Drosophila melanogaster: one gene and its partner. The protein of the gene in region 1 purifies or fractionates together with the protein of each later gene. This does not show direct contact. Each region holds a gene or a part of one and is shown on either strand. Other genes may lie near its edges. The genes, in order: CG2790 and CG42857.

The links.
Region 2: the proteins of CG2790 (region 1) and CG42857 purify together in Drosophila melanogaster (affinity purification with mass spectrometry, with the first as the bait; one large-scale study listed by BioGRID). This does not show direct contact.

What each region holds. Positions count from the first base shown.
Region 1 is NT_033778.4:24,946,061-24,954,882, forward strand, and holds CG2790 (uncharacterized protein), read right to left. Parts: upstream 2,319-8,822; 5' UTR 2,294-2,318; coding exon 1,688-2,293; intron 1,627-1,687; coding exon 610-1,626; 3' UTR 501-609; downstream 1-500. Other genes in the region: CG3770 (uncharacterized protein), read left to right, coding at 1-103, 159-272, 323-465; CG12851 (uncharacterized protein), read left to right, coding at 3,573-3,806, 3,864-4,791, 4,895-5,450, 5,521-5,943, 6,000-6,194, 6,252-6,940, 6,993-7,213.
Region 2 is NT_033777.3:9,817,475-9,824,957, forward strand, and holds CG42857 (uncharacterized protein), read right to left. Parts: upstream 3,718-7,483; 5' UTR 3,629-3,717; coding exon 3,536-3,628; intron 3,479-3,535; coding exon 3,155-3,478; 3' UTR 3,040-3,154; downstream 1-3,039. Other genes in the region: CG9459 (uncharacterized protein), read right to left, coding at 28-597, 665-892; CG9458 (uncharacterized protein), read right to left, coding at 1,535-2,101, 2,166-2,393; CG34302 (uncharacterized protein), read right to left, coding at 5,625-6,137.

The DNA of each region.
Region 1 (8,822 bases):
CTACTCTCTGTAACGGTGATCCTGACCCTGATCACCTGCTGCCGCCAGTCGGCCTGTGGCAAGAGCATACACAACATGACGGCCTGCGCCCAGGTCGTAGCAGGTAAGCAACCATTACTGTGATATCCTCGCAGCATTTAAGTTTGCATTGTTTATAGGAATATGTATGATGTTGGGTCTATTTCTGCATCCGATGGGATGGCGAGCGAACCGGATTCAACGTCTATGCGGCATGGATGCCGAACCCTTTTACCCCGCCGACTGTAGCATAGGTAATTCTTTGAAACTTTTCTTAGAAACTTACTAAACTTAATCCTTACAGGAGTTTCATTCTACTGCGGAATCATTGGGGTACTCCTAACATTTACTGCCGCCGGTATAAGCCTAAAGGCAGAGTCTTCCAATATGCGAACTCGAGTTCGCAGACGCGTGGAGGCGGGCAGTAAACTGGTCTGTATTCCGTAGCTGCCTTTGAATACAATAAGAACACTATCTGACTTGGAGCGAGCATACTTAACTTCATTCTCGAATTAAATTTATCATTAGCATAAATAAACTTTTAACATTCTACAGTATAGATACAAGGTGTGGGTGGATATCTATACGACCCTACTTGTTGCGCTTGCCCTTAGCTTTGCCAGGAGGCTTGCCCTCAACATTAGGCTTTGCCTTAGGTATGTAGACACCATGGTTCGTCTTCTTTAGGTGGGCAAACAGCTTGTTCTTGGAGTCAAAGACAAGCCTACAGGTAACACAAGTGTGTTGCGACTTGGTCGGGTCGAGGTCCTCATCTCCGCTTTTGGGAGCCACTGTTGCCTCCTTTGTATTCGGTTCCGAAACAGTTTGCTCTAATAGCTTAACCTTCCTAGTCGTCGTCTTTTTGCTTTTACTCTTTTTGCTCGCTTTTTTGCCTTTACTCCAGTCTTCATCCTCTGACTCGCTCTTGATTGCCTTCTTTTCTATTGGCTCATCTGGTTCGTCACTGCCTTCCGCCTGCGCTTGCTTGACAGCTGACTTCCTTGCCTTTTTGTTTTTTTTGGTTCGTTTGGCTAGCGAAGATTCTTCTTCGCTTGGAACCCCGTCGAAAGATATCTGATCCTCAGAGACTTGCAATTCTTCCAGCGATTCCTGTACGCCCATTAAACTGTCTTCATGGGGTTCATTGTGGAAAGCGTCCTCTTCTTCCTCCATTTCCTGACACAGCCGGTCGACATTTTCATTATGCTTCTTGCTTTCTTCGTGATTAGCACGCGCCTTGGCGTTTTTAAATGTCTTGTTGCATGCCACGCAGTAAAGATCGTCTACATACTCCACTTCGTACTCCTCGGCTTCCTGGCCGCCTTCATGGTCAAAGTCCTCGCCATCGTCGTCGTTCTCGTCTTCATCCGTGTAATCTTCTGACTTGCTATCGTACTGCTGCTCTAACTGCTTTAGCTGCTCCTCGTAGCCCTCGTTAAAGACATTATTTTTCCTGACGGCTGCCAGTTCTTCCTGGCGCTTCCTTAACTGCTCTTTGCGCTTCTCCTCCTGCTTAAGTCGATTGGCCTCGACGCGTTCCTCAAGCATGCGCCTGTAGGCCTGCACTCTGGGATCCCTTTTTCGCACAAAGTTGACTAAGTTGCGAACCTAAGTAAATGAGGTAAGTAAAATGTGTCTCGGAAGAAAAAAAAGGGAATTCATCGCCCACCTCTTCGTTGCGTTCCTTGCGGGCAGCCTGAACGATCTTTTTCATCTCCTTCTCCACCTTGCGTAGGATAAAGCGCTCTTTTATTTCGCGAACATCGTAGGGACACAGCCAGTCGTAGGTCTTCCGGGTACTGTATGCCTGCCAAAAGGCGTAGAACGGACCCACCACATCTTCGTAACTACTGTTTGAATGACCAAAGTCAGGCGCCATCCCCAACCGGTCGTCCTTGTCCATGAACTCTAAGTCCTCCGAGGCGATTTGGACGAAGACATCGGTGTACACGCGGTAAAAGCCGTGCTCATTGTCGCCATAGCCCTTGTAACAGGAGCTCGTGAAGAACTGGAACACGTCCAGGCAGTTCTCCGCATAATCGGAGTTCTTGCCGCGCAAGATCTGCTCGCGATGGTTGTCGTACCAAGACCGTTCCTGAGGATCAGACAGAACTTCATACGCTTGCTGGATCAGCTGGAAGCGCTCTTTGGCCTCCGCCAGTCGGTCGGGATTCTTGTCCGGGTGCCAGCGCAGGGCCATCTTACGGTACGCACTCTTGATGTCCCCATCGTTGGCGTTTCTTTGGAGCTCGAGCTCCTCGTAATAGCAACGCATGTTTCTTAGAACAACAAATAATTTTGATAGAGTTGCCAGATGGGCGGAAAGACAGCTGGCGCTCACAGATGCGTTGTCAGTGCTGCAAAGCGCTGGAAGGGGAACGTAAATATCTTGCAAAGTAGCTTACTTTTGGGCTGAGAGCGTTTTGCGTTTATTGTAATAGCTGAAAAAAACGTTAGGAAAACAATAGAAGCCTATTCTTACAAGGTCTTGAAATTACAGTTACCCAGTTAAGTGGCTAAACTGCAAGTGGCATCTCCTAGCAGTCATACGTAACTGCGCATCCCGTCATTAGCTTTTTTACTTTCGACGGCGACGGACGTTTCTTTTCATCCGTGTCCGCGCATCCTTAGTTGACTAAATTCTGCCGCATGCTTTTCTCACTACCACCGAAGCTCACACATCGCATACCTATACACAGGCAGAGAAAAAAAATAAAATCGGAAAGGTTCCTGTGAAAAGCAGCAGTTAAACACATCAGAAGTTGTAGTTTTTCCCAGGACGTAACGGTGCTTTTTTCCCTTAGTTTCCGAAGCATTTATACATAATTTGCATAAACTAAATAATAATCGACTGGAATCGAAGCTCGACTATTGCCAATCACCCATAACGATACAAGCAAAGTGCCAAAATGTCGTTTAGCATTTGAGTCTGCATACGAAAAGGAAAATAGCTTGACATAAAATTTACAGTTACGTGGGATTTACAACCGTGGGCTGTAACACACAGACAGGCCTTCACATACACACACATACTTACGTCGAGTGAGTGCGGGAGTGGAGTCCTTGAAGCATCTCTGCTTACGAACAACCCCCACAACATTGGGTGCGTCGGTACTCGGCGCGAAGTAATGAATAACGGCCAAAAATAACCGTCAACAAAAAACAAACAAACACAAGTATAGAAAGCCGACGAAGTCCGTGTGTGTTCTGGTGTAGATTTACCATTGCCCTTTCATCTCTTGTGCGGGTGTGTGTGTGGGCGCCAAAATAAAAGAAGGCGCAAAGGATATGAGGACAACGTTGTCTGCCACATTTGCAAGTAAGGTAATTTCGCATAAAATTCCAGCACAGCCTCCCACCCAAACTATAGAAAATGTGTCCCTACTGAAAAGCCATTCGGCTTTTGTGCCGTAGTAAATGGATTTCCTTATCAGCGCAAAGTGGTCCCAGGAGTCCACTCCTCTTCATTGTTGCAGCTGAATTGCAGCCAGCTTAATGAACTCCCCTTTCAGGAATTACCGTCCGTCCACATCGGCTAAGACTAGAATACCACTATGTTTGGATCCAAGCTGCGCTCCTGGATGGAGACGCATATTGTGCGTCCGCGGAAGAAGGGCAGTAAACACAAGCAAGGGACCGTGGACGCAGGCAGTTCTTGCGTGGGGAAGAAGGCGGGCACCTTACCAACACAGGGCAGCAACCTAACTAGCCCGGTCCTGACCAGTAGCGGAAGCCACAGCATCGCCAGTCCGGTGCGGAGGCGCGAGGTCTCCCCCATCCAGTGTCACGTAAGTAGCTTCCTTCCTAGGAATATACAAATGCTTACGTCGATCATATTTTCGTAGCCACCCAGTCGTCGATATGGCTGGCAATCCCCAGATGAAGATTCCTACGTCATAGCCTCGCCCAAGTCGGACAATTTGCTTCACGCTCCGCACTGCTATCAGCCGCATCAACCGCTCCAGCAGCCGTCGCACCACTTAAGCGTGCCCAATAGCAAGGAAACCTATGCGGAGAAATCGCCCACCAGGGTAAACTGCTCTTCGTCCTCCATATCGTCGTTGTCCTGGTCAACGGGATCCAAGGAGCCCTCTTCTGGCAAACAAGCAATTTTTAGAGAGCAGTCCTTAAATGGGGAATACCACATCCCACCTGAGGAGGAGGTGGAGTACGAGGAAGTTGGCGCTTTGCTGCTTCGGCATGCACCACCCATTGCAGAACAACAGCGCCCGCAGTCAGAAAACTTAAGTGCCGTGCGTCTAATCTACAAGGAAGAGCCAAGGCAAAGCAAGAATCATGTTCGTTACGGTCGCCTGCTTCCCTCCAAGCTAGCACCGGCTCAGCATGGCGAGTCACTGGATAATTTGACAGCTACACCGCCTATTCCACCCGCTTCACTTACCGGCTCGCGTATTCGAACTCCACGAGGAATTCAGCGCAATAATTTTATTTCGGGACCCCGGCCACACAGCTTGCCCTCGCCAGAAAGCGCTTATTCCACGGGCTACTCCACAGATGGCACATCGCCATGCGCCGCCAGCAACTACAATCCACCTGAGTACTACATTAACATGCGCTCGGGAACCCACTATTTCCCGAAGAGCGTCAACTCGCTGGCCGTCGAGGCCCAGCGGTACAAGTTCGGCCTTAACCGCATAGAGGAGATGTCGCCTATGGATCCGTTGCCCAAGAGCAACTTCGCAACTGCCACTCATGGCCCGGAGTCGTCGCCTAGTTCGCTAGCTCTGCGGCAGCAGTCAAAGCTCTTTGAGTGTGAGTTTCAGTGTTGTTAGCCCGGCTGCTGGCAAACTGAGCAATTAACCCATTTAAAATCTCTACTTGGCTGAAGTAGCATCTCTCATCTCCTTTTTTGCAGCTCCCTCGCCGAGACAGCGCTGTCGTATAAGAACAAATCCCTGGTACAACACGGGAGAGCTCTTGCCTAGCACGACAGGCCCCACACGCTTGGATCTGGATGCGACCAGTACTACCTCCACGACCTCGTCGGGCATTAAGTCAAGCAATGAACTGGAAGTTCCGGTGGCCAAAACAATAGCAAACAAAGCAGGGAAGCCAGTCCCTTATGCAGCAACCTCCAACTGCAGAGCTACTCCTAGCCAGGCAGCCAAACAGGCTGATATAGACATTGTTGGGGGAGGGGCTGGTGTTGCACCTGGGGCTGGAGTTGTTTATGAATCCGAGGGCTCCTCGACTTCGACTGAATTGGAAAATGTGCATGCCCCACATACCATTAAGCGGCGTCACTTGGACCACGCCGAGACTACAACAACTTCAGCGCCCGTGGCAGCTGGTGGTGGAACTGGAGCTACCACTACATCCTTCGTTCTTAGTGATGACGAGGCCACCCTTAATGAAATGATTGGGAAGTTCGACGAGAGTTACATTTACGAAAAGGAAACTGATATATTAAGGTGAGTTGGAGTCGTTCAGTGCTCGCCAAGTCAACTTAAGTTGCCTTCTTATATTTAATTCGACTTCTAGCAGTGATTCAGACCTTACGGACTGCTGTGCTTCGGAGCTAGATACTGGACAGGATGCGGGTGATGAGTGTGACACAGACGAGTTGTTGGACATTGACTTTATAGACACTTCATCCATGCAAGAGGTGGAACTTGACCGCAAGGATCTGTCACGAAATCTGGGCAACTGTCACTACTATTCTAATCACCCTATCAGTCCGGTGCTCAATCGAAAGGCATCAGTCCGTTCCCGACGCAAGAGCGGTCAGGAGACGGGGGAAAGCTCCCAACAGCGCCGACGCAAGAGGTTCCTTAAAACACGTAAGAAGAGTTGTGAAAATCGCGAAAAGACTTCTTCGTCACCTCTTCGTGAGCCTCGTGGCACCCGAAGTGTGGGTGGCACGCCCGTCTGTTTGCGCCGCAATCTACTGGGTCCAAGTGAGAGGTATAAGACAACAATTTAATAATTATATATAGGATTTTAAAATATTTTGTTTAAAGAATATACAAAACGTCTCCCCTGTCAAACCGCTCCAACTCGCTAATCTTTGGAAGCATAAAAAAAAAGTCAACACTCACCATCGCAGAAAGCGAAAAAGCACTTCTTAAGGCAGACTTGGAGGCTGATATGAAATATAAACAACTAATTATGGAAGCGGAGTCTTTGCTGGAATCGATGAAGAACAGCTTACAGAGGTAAGGAATGATAAAGTTTAAATATTTGGTTCGTTATTAATAACATATCACCATTAGCATTCCCAGAGACACGCCTGTCGCCAGCCCAAGACGAGTGAATCCCTTAGCTAACAAGCGGGTGGAAATGCTTAAAAACAGTGAAGTGGTGGACTCCAAAAAACAGACTCTGGTTCTTAACTCTCCTCCTCTTGAGCATGAGTTAGCAGCAGCCATTAATAAGCGCATAGAGATGCTCAAGTTTGAGACATCGTCTGCTTCTTCGCCACCAAACAGTCCCAAGCCTGCCCGTTACAGTCCTCGCAAAACGCATCTGACCAACTTTATGAATCAAAATGCTCCACCAGAGTTGCCACCACGAAAAATAAAAGGCAACCCTCCCTCTGCTCCACTCTCGCCACAACTTCAGCTAAATGGAAGGAGTATTCAGGAGAGTCCAAAGAGCAAGCGACGCACGATGATGGTGACTTCTTCTACCACGACAACGGTGATCAGCTTCAACGGCAGTGATCCTGAGATGGAGTGCATAGCTGTAGAGGATATTGGCAATCACAACTACTTGCCTCAGCCGCAATCGAATACGAGGGATGGAAAATATGGATCGAATACGAAAATGGAAAACCCATTGCATGCCGAATTAAATATTAATAACAACTTTTACTGCCCACACAGCGAGCCCTTAAAGCGCAAGGTATACAAGGGTAGCTCATCGTTCGAGCGCATAAAAAAAAACTTCGACTTCGAATTGGGTAAGTAATTCGCCTTGTTTGTAAGTGAAGTATTTAATCAAATGATACACAGATTCAAACGGACGGTGCAAGTCAAATGAGCGTTCGCAAATTAAGCTTTTGGCCTCCGTGTCGGCCAAGAGCTCTATGCAAGACGTGACCGTTGACGAGGCCAAGGGCCATGCAATAGGCGGTAGTAACCGCAAGCAGCAGCTCATACTGAATACCATTTTCGATTTAAAGCGCAGCTTGGAGCATCAAAGCCATCAACTGAGTGGATTTAATGGCGAATAGAACTGAGTGAACTACTAGGACTAATATCATCATCATACTTATTTACAATGCATCATATAGACAGTAACTAGTTGGCTAAGATATAGAGTCCAAAAGAGTCCCTCAGACTAGACACTGAAACGAAGCGCAATAACATTAACTTATAAGGGGAGACGATTATTTACAAAAATACTAGAATACTCAAGGGCCGTAATAGAACATATGAACTGGTGCAGAATCTTATCACAAAAAGTATTTAGAATGTAGCAAATTGTTTTTGATGGAAGTGTTACATTACAATCGTAATCATAACCCAGAAGTTTTCAAAGTAATATTTTCAGTTTTAAAATGTACTTTAGACACCATAGATTTTAGTTAAAGCATATCAAAGAATGTGTATACTAAGTAATATTCTGTTGAAATTAATCGTTTCTGTTATTTACATCAATTTTGTTTTGGATACACATTGTTTTCATGAAAAATTCGAAACATATATTTTAACGGTCTATATGCCCAAGCTGAAAGTATGTTCAGAACACTATTTCCGTGGCATGTCCATCATACTATCCTACCAACTCATACTATCCAATCATAGCTTGAATACGTTGATATTAGTAACCAAACCAAACTACATAAGTTAATAACTGGTAGTATTCCTTAGTTTTTAACGAGCGTCAGCGCGTGTGCGTTAATGTGGAAAATATACTAACCTTTCAATGCAAATCCCATTTGAACGTCGACTACACTTATAGAGCTCATCTTATTACTAAACTTGACAACACATTTCACCTAATTATCTATATTAGAAAAGTATTCAAAAGTAGACCTTTAAGTAAACCATATTAAGATCCATCCAAATGAAAATTGTTTAGCCAAATTTTTTGTAGAATAATGAAAAGAAAAGGCATTGTTTTACTGTTTTGTTTCCTTGGTTAAGTAGATAAAGACTATTGAGTTTCTATGCCAGAAATTGAAATAATCAGAAGGAAATCGAATTATATTCCAGCTGGCATTACCATGAATTTAAAATTTTGTTGTATTGGCAAAAATTTTAATGTTTACCAATTGGGAAAATTTGGTTGTAATTTGGATTAATCGACTCATGTAATTATTTATGGTGTTGTGTACCCAATTAATATAAATAATAGACGCTGTAGAACCTACACGATGAATACATTATCTAAGTCATACTGTAACGTGATAATAAATCTAATGAAAATCCTAAGACCAAAATCAAACCATATCCAAAATCTAAGGAGATCCACAGAACTGTAAGTATAAATGAATTAAATAATTCTTAACGGTTTTGTTTGTTCTTCTTAGTAGTACGTATGTCTCTGTAGATTTGCGAGCTTGTTGCTCATCGATATTAAAATTTAAATTTTCGTTTTTGCTTACGTACTAGTGCCTGCTCCTAGTGCCTCTGGACAGGAGGGGTAGTGGTTCAGTATGATGTGTTAAATTTACTTAATTAGTTTCACCCGCGACGCGACACTTGAACATCGAACGCTGGCCTGCAAAACGAAAGACGCACGCCGCGATATCAAGACATCGAACTCGCTATTTTGAACTTTAAATGGGCAGCTAATGCGTAGTTCCACCCAGCCCACAATGACGGCTTGGACCTGCA
Region 2 (7,483 bases), on another chromosome or scaffold:
GTGATATTAAATCTTAATTAGTTTTGCTCATCGGCCCACCGCCGATTTCGTTTTCTTGGGAAGAATGTAGGTGCGAACGTAGAAGTTACTAAATAGAATTATAAATACTACAGATATCAGTGAGCCCCAAGTTGCCGATAATCGTGATGTTTGACAATCAGTTTGCCGGAGGATATAGACGCTGTGCGAGAATATAATAACAAATTGGACAAGCTGAACGACTGTGATGTATTTCTTCCACCAGAGATCGCCACCCGAGTTCCGATTGAGGGACGACTGGTAGTAGTAGGTGTACATCATGGTGTGCACCACCACGTTGAAGGTGATCAAGAAGAATCCATGGCCGCCGTATCCATAATAATACATGTACAAGAAGCCTATGTACACCATGTATACGTGGTGGAAAACGTGCAGGAACGATATCTGGCGATACTTCTTTCTGAATATAAAGAACACAGTCTCCAGCAGATCCATGAGCTTGTTGAAGAAGTAGGAGTAACTGAGCCAACGCTCCCAGTTCTTGTACTCATGATCCAACGGCAGATTGGATATGCAACTGAAGTTATAGTTGCCAGGACCAAGCATGAAGTGCACACTCTTTAAATTTGGAGATACATATAATGAATATTAATATATTTTTGTTAAAAAAAAGAGCATTACTTACAAATATTAACAAAATGACATTGTATGCGATTTGCACGATGTTGTAGATCTTGATAGCTCTATCCAGATTGTAGGGCTTTTGATTCTGCATAAACCAAGGACCCACTATTTTTATGAAGACTAGATAGATTCCAAGGATGGTCAACACCGGCCAGTGGCTGCTGGTCAACGGAAGACGCACAGGATCCGGTGGCGATCGATTCAGGAAGTCCAGCATATGGGCAAACATGTCGGATATCTAAGTGTTATCGACGTCGGTGGAATAGCGACTGATGTGGACTCCGGCCGAGAACCGAGAAATGGTAATCTGCTCGTTTTCGAGGCTGATTTAAGTGTGTGTTTCTATTATACAAATACCTACATACGTAAGTAAAACCTATTACGCCGACCATATAAGAGGGTATTGCGGTCACAAAGTAAGGAAAATAGGTTTCCATCGCTTGGAATGCCGGATATGTTGAACATCCACTGTCCCCTGGTTACGAAAGGTAAAATAATGGCATTCGTATTTAGTTTTTAATGTAGTCCAGTTTTAAATGCAGTCCAGTTTTTAATGCCTTTTGACGTAATAACTTTAACGTATTCTAAGATCAATCGATTTTATATAATTCTAACCGTGTCACTTCTAATGAAGTTTACTTACACTTTGTTTGATATTGATATTTTCGTAGTAATAGCATACAATTTCGGGCAAAGTCTTGTGTTATTCCACCTTTTCCATCATAATATTCATCCGAATATCAGTCATTACTAGTAAACAGATATACAATTCAAATACATCTTTATGTTTTTTATTAGCTCTAAAATTAAAATAGGTTTCTCTATAGAGATCTAAATGCTGCACAGAACAAATCTGATGACTGGCTCTAGCTTAGATGTTTTTCTGTTTCCTTTTCTTGGGTCGAATATAGGCATGAAAATAGAAGTTGCTAAATAAGATGATGAACACAACGGAGATGCTGCCGGCACAGGTCGCCGAGAACCGGGCTGATGGACAGTCCGGTTGCTTTAGGGTGTAGATACTATGCCCCAGAACGATTCCAAACTGGATGAGCTGAACGATAGTGATGTACTTCTTCCACCACAGATCGCCCTTCGAATCGCGATTGAGCGACGACTGATAGTAGTAGCTGTACATCATGATGTGCACGACGACGTTGAAGAAGCACATAAAGAACCCATGACCACCGTATCCGTAGTAGTACAGATACATAAAGCTGAAGTACAGCATGTACATGTGATGGAAGACGTGCAGAAAGGATATCTGGCGATCCTTCTTTCGCAGCACAAAGAAGACCGTCTCCAGCAGATCGAGCAGCTTATTGAAGAAGTACGAGTACGTAAGCCAGCGCTCCCAGGTCTTGTACTCATGATCCGGCGGCAGGTTCTTGATGCACTTAAAGTTATAGTCTCCGGGTCCCAGCATGAAGTGGACAGCCTGTAAAGTGGAATTTCTATATTAAACAATCCGTGATGGTTGATATTTTTGGGGGGAAACTCACAAAAAAGCACATGATGACATTGTACACGATCTGCATGATGTTGTACGCCTTTATCAGACCGCGAAGGTCAAAGGGCTTTCGATTCCGCATGATCTTTGGACCCGCTATCTTTACGAAGAACAGGTAGGTGGCCAATACCATCAGGACGGGCTTGTGGCTGGCCAGGAGTGGCAGGCGCACAGGATCGGGTGGGGATTTGCCCAAAAAGTCCACTAGATCACCCAACATTGCGATTGTGTGTGCTTACCGTGGATCGATGGAAATGCGACTAATTTTATTGTGGTTTATAAGCTTCGATAAACACGCTTAATTGGTATGGTAATTTAGGCGTGAGTACGGCAAGTAGGGTTTACCAATACTCGAAGCATGCGACAAATGCATGATTTGTATTTAATTTGAAGAGCCTGAGGAGGCAGACAGTGAAAGTAACCATGAAAATTGATTCCCCTTGGCTTTAAATCAATACCAATAATGCAAAACTTTCCACGTACCTTCGCAACTTTAAACATGATTATGAAAATTCCATTAAAAGTTTAATGGGCTCCCGGGAAATGTTCGAAAATCACGCACATGCGAAACGAAAGCGGTACAAAAAGATGGGCGGCCATTTTCGTATCGCATCGGGTTACGCAGTGGGCGTGGCCAAACTGCAACTGCAGCAACTTCCATGCAAAGCGGATGCGAAAATGGTACATAAACAAATACCGCCACATCACGCACATCCAGTGCAACAAAAGTGGCAACAGCCATAACAAATTTAGAACTAAATACGGGTCGCGGCATCTAGTGCACTTATTTAAATGCAATAGTGGGTTTTAATACAATGTACATACATATATGTGTCGAAATCAACTTTAAAAGAGTCTACCAATTTCGTTTTGTGCTTTTTATTAAGCGCTTCAATAGATGGCAATGAGCATATGTCGAAACTAGTTTAATTAGATACCAGTCGCTGCCTTATAAAACTGAAAAATCAGGCCAAGTACATATCACTCGTTGTCGGCTGTCTCACTAATGGCCACATACTTCCGATTCTTAATTATCACAGTTTGCATGAGTAAAGGTGTGATAGTCGGCATACGATGCACCTTAGGTGGATCAATTGCACGTGGATTGTAGCTTTTGAGAGGGCGCATTTTCTTTTCCTTCTTCTCAGTTTCCACACATTGATCAACTGCTTTCTTTGCTATCCTTTCGCTTTTATCCTGGCACGTGATCCTTTTCATTTTCGGCTGTTTGGCAACTCCGTTCTTTTTAAGATTCTCAGCTTTAATTAGCTGTTTTTTTTCCTGAAACGTGCTCTTAAAGCATATCTGCAAGATTTAACATAAGTTTACAATTTTCACATAACTAGTAACTTGCTTTCATACTGGACACACGTAGATTAGCTTTAAGGTCACAGGATCCTTTGCCATCTTCCTGGTTCTTACGTTGCACAAAGAACAGGTGGAAAAAGGCGGCATTTCTAAAATGATTTTCTTAAATAATCTAGCAAACTGCAACACGTGACGAATAGTAAGACCTTGTGCAGCTATCTGTTTTTTTTGACACTGGCAGCATTGTTTTCGCCATTTTCGATAAGCCAATTAATTTTGGTATTTCATGAAGATGCCAGGGCTGCGGAATTTAAACTTAAATGAAATCCGAAATCCGAATGCATCCCTAGGAATGTTATCAACATTCATTAGCATTCGTTGCCAAATTGCTCAACTTTTTAAGTGCTTTGATTTGCATTGCATTGTGAGTGGAAAGTGGAAAGTGGACATGAATGTGGATGTGGGAGTGGGGTATACATATAACGCTGGCTTGGCAACTGCACCCAGTTTTCAAGTGCATCTGCATTCGAAGTTGAAAGCTGGTACCGAATCCTGTGTAGCTGTGTAAACGACCTTTGATGTGGGCCTGGTTGGTTGGTTGGTTGGTTGGTTGGTTGTTCGGTTGGTCGTTGGTTTAGTCTCGACTCGTATTCGCATTAACGCCATTAGGCCAATTTGGCACTTTGCCCTGGCCCCGAAAAGGCGCGCACGGAGAACTTTCACAAACAAAAGGTAACAAACGGCGTCAGGATGTTGCAATAGCTCTCCTTCTGCGCCACCTCGAAAGCCACCCGAAAAGCAGCCAAGAGTCACCCAACTACTCCGTTCCTCCTTGCCGTTCCACTCCATGCCACTCACATGCCAATGCCCGTGTAAATAAAAGTCAAGTGAGGAAAACAAATAAATTAGAAGCGCATCCTCCGCTCGTTGGCAACGGGCATTTCTCTTCGTTATTGCGCGACTGCCTTTAATTACGACACCAGGCGGCTGAAAGGAGCTGGAGATGCTGTTGCAAAGTCCTGCCCGAGTATTCCCCCACTCTCCCCAATTTCCACTTTCCAGTGCACCCCCCCCGGTTTGCCCAGTGCCACCTCGTGCTCCGTGCTCCGCCACAGCGTAGCATCCTCAATTTATGTTTATTTGAAAGCTGTTGCACTTGACTAATGTCCTCTCCGTCTGGCCTCTCATCCTGCCACTTAGCAGGATGCGGCGACATTCACAGGCTCTTGGACTTTGGCCATCTGGTATTTAAGCCATCAAATCCACATCATTTTGGCCAGCAGCCCGTGTTCAGGATGAGCATGTGTCACCCAAATGGTTATCAGAAAGGAATGCTTATTGATTTTTACTATGTTATAAAATATTTGTTAAATTTGATATATATATAATTGCTTACATAGGATAAGTTAACTCATATAAGCTTGTTCCCAAAACGACTCCATCAATAAATAAATCGATCTATTGATCCACAATCCAAGTGGATCCCTTGCCCTGGACTTCCCGGAATAAATTCGAGTGTAATTGACGGCGCATTTGATTTATTAGTTTTCTCATTAAACAAATTGTTGAACAATGCCGGGCAAAGAACAATACACTGTGCGACATTCCATGGTACACGCACACATACATATAATATCTCGCCCAGCACTTGGGTTTATTTATGTAGATTGATGGTCATTCGTGTAAACACATCCATTGACGTAAATTTGAATAAACATTTTCATTAGCCAAATGTCCATGAGCCCCTGGAGACAGTCGGAGCTTGATATCTGATGGGCAATGGACGATGGACGATGGGCAATGGACGATGGTAATGATGACCTGGCAATCACATTTGCTCAATTGGATTCGACTTGGTCGCTGCCCGGATTTTGGGTAATTTATTACACCGGCTAAAAGTACCAATTACAAGGCATCCGATTCAATCCTTTCCACGATTCCCTGGTGAGGAATTGACCTTCGGTCAAATTGGTAATGACCCATTATCACATAAACATAAACATAAACAGCTTTCAGTTTTTGGAAAAAAAAAGTTTACAATTTACCAAAAGGTGTATAAATACTTTATTATATCACGTTATCATTTATATGTATATTTCTCAGAAATATTTGTACTTTCTTTTGTATTAAAAGTGGATAGCAGCTACAAATTTCGTTTTCTATTTTCGCGCTTATTGTATTTATTTTCGTCATTGATCTCTGACGAAATGGTGGGTATATCTGCAAGCAGGTCAATATTTTTCTGAAACATCAGCATGTCTGCATCGACGATATCCGGTATATTCCAATAGTCCTCATTGACTTCGTATTTTGGATTTTTGTCATAGAAGGAACCGGTGAGTACGGAAAGCTGTAACTGCTGGCGAATCTTCTGGAACAGCTCAAGTTTCTGTTGGCGCTGCAATCTCACCTCGGCAATCACGCGTTGAAAGGTGGGGTCCATATGGCTCTTATCCTGGGCATCCGAACAGCGAGCAATGTTCACAAGGAAAGCCTTCGATTGGTCCACGGTCAGTCTCAGTCCGTCCATTGGTTTCTTTCCGGCCCAAAGAGTTAAGCAGCGGGCACACAATCCAGTCGGAAAATGGTATACCAAATTGGAGCACATCTCACATTTGGTAATTTCCAAAAGAGGATTACGGCGGAGTGGATCCATCGTGTTAATCGCTGGCAGGTCTTTAGCAAATGCAACTCCCTGCGAAATGTTCTCTGTCACTTCGATAGTCTTGAAAACGGGCCACTTTTTTGCGTAACCTCAAAAAAGTTCGATAAATGAAATCTCTAAAATAGGGTTAACACCTTTACAATGGTTTCTTATTGGAATTTTAGTCCCTATTGTTTTTGAATGCAAATCAAAAACTTGATTGACCGTTAAAAAATATTTTTGGCACGGTTATATTTTTAATAGTAATTTAGCAGTGCCTGCAATTTTTGTGTAAATACAAATTACACATCTTTTCCATCAAGTAATTGAAATAAAAAAGTTCCCCCTCCGCCGGCAAGTAGTTTTCCACCCATTTTGTCAGGTGAATTCATCCACATTTATCAGCTGTAAAAATCTTCAGCTCCCAAAGCAAGGACTTCTTAAACCTTAACTCTTTTGGAGGCCGACGCTGCTCTCTTTTTTTTCTCCAGCTCAGAACGGAATTCGTTTAATTTGTTAAATTGAAATTATGGTAATTTCCTGCAGTCATGCGAACCTTTTCATACCCGTTCGTGTCTGGCCGGAACCAATGACGAGAGGCCTGGGCCGGATGGAGGGGCCACCCAACGTTGGCTGATGGCTGTTAGCTAACCGAAAGTCAAGTTCATAAATTTGAGGCCCACGGTGCGAGGAGAACTACCTGTCCAGGTTTTGGTGGTCGCACTCATTGCAGCAGCACGCCTCATGGCTCAATCCGCCTGCCCCCCAATCCTCGTGTCACCCTCCTGGCCCATGCCATTTGCCTGACGCCTCCAATCCGAAGGTTGGAGCCCGGCTAATCGATAGCTCTCCATGGCGATGGACGGGGTGGGTGTTGATTTATGGCATTGCCGACGCACCGAAACTCGCTCCGAGATCCGACGAAAGTGACACATTAATGTGTTCAATTGAAGTGCCAACTACCTGCCGCTTTGTTCCTCCTCATCCGCAGCGCAGGTGGTGGAGGAGGAGGACCAGCCAGGACAGTTGGAAACAAAAAGCGCCCCCGGTGCTCTGGCAGCTTGTTAAGCTCGTTGTTCTCTCAATTGCTCCTCCAAGTGGAGCCCTTCCTTCCAATTTGCGCATTTTCAAGCCATCAATCGCTAGGATACAGCAATCAGTGGTGGGTAGGGTACAATGTCTTCATATGTGATATGTTTGTAAAACAACTCAATATTACAGATATTTAAATGAAATATTTACCTTCGCTTGAGGTTAGATATTTTATATACCCAAGTGTATGTAGATACGGGAAAGATTTTCCAATGGCTACTAGTTACCTGTTGAGCAAACGCGTAGCCCGAGGAGCTGCGTTCTTG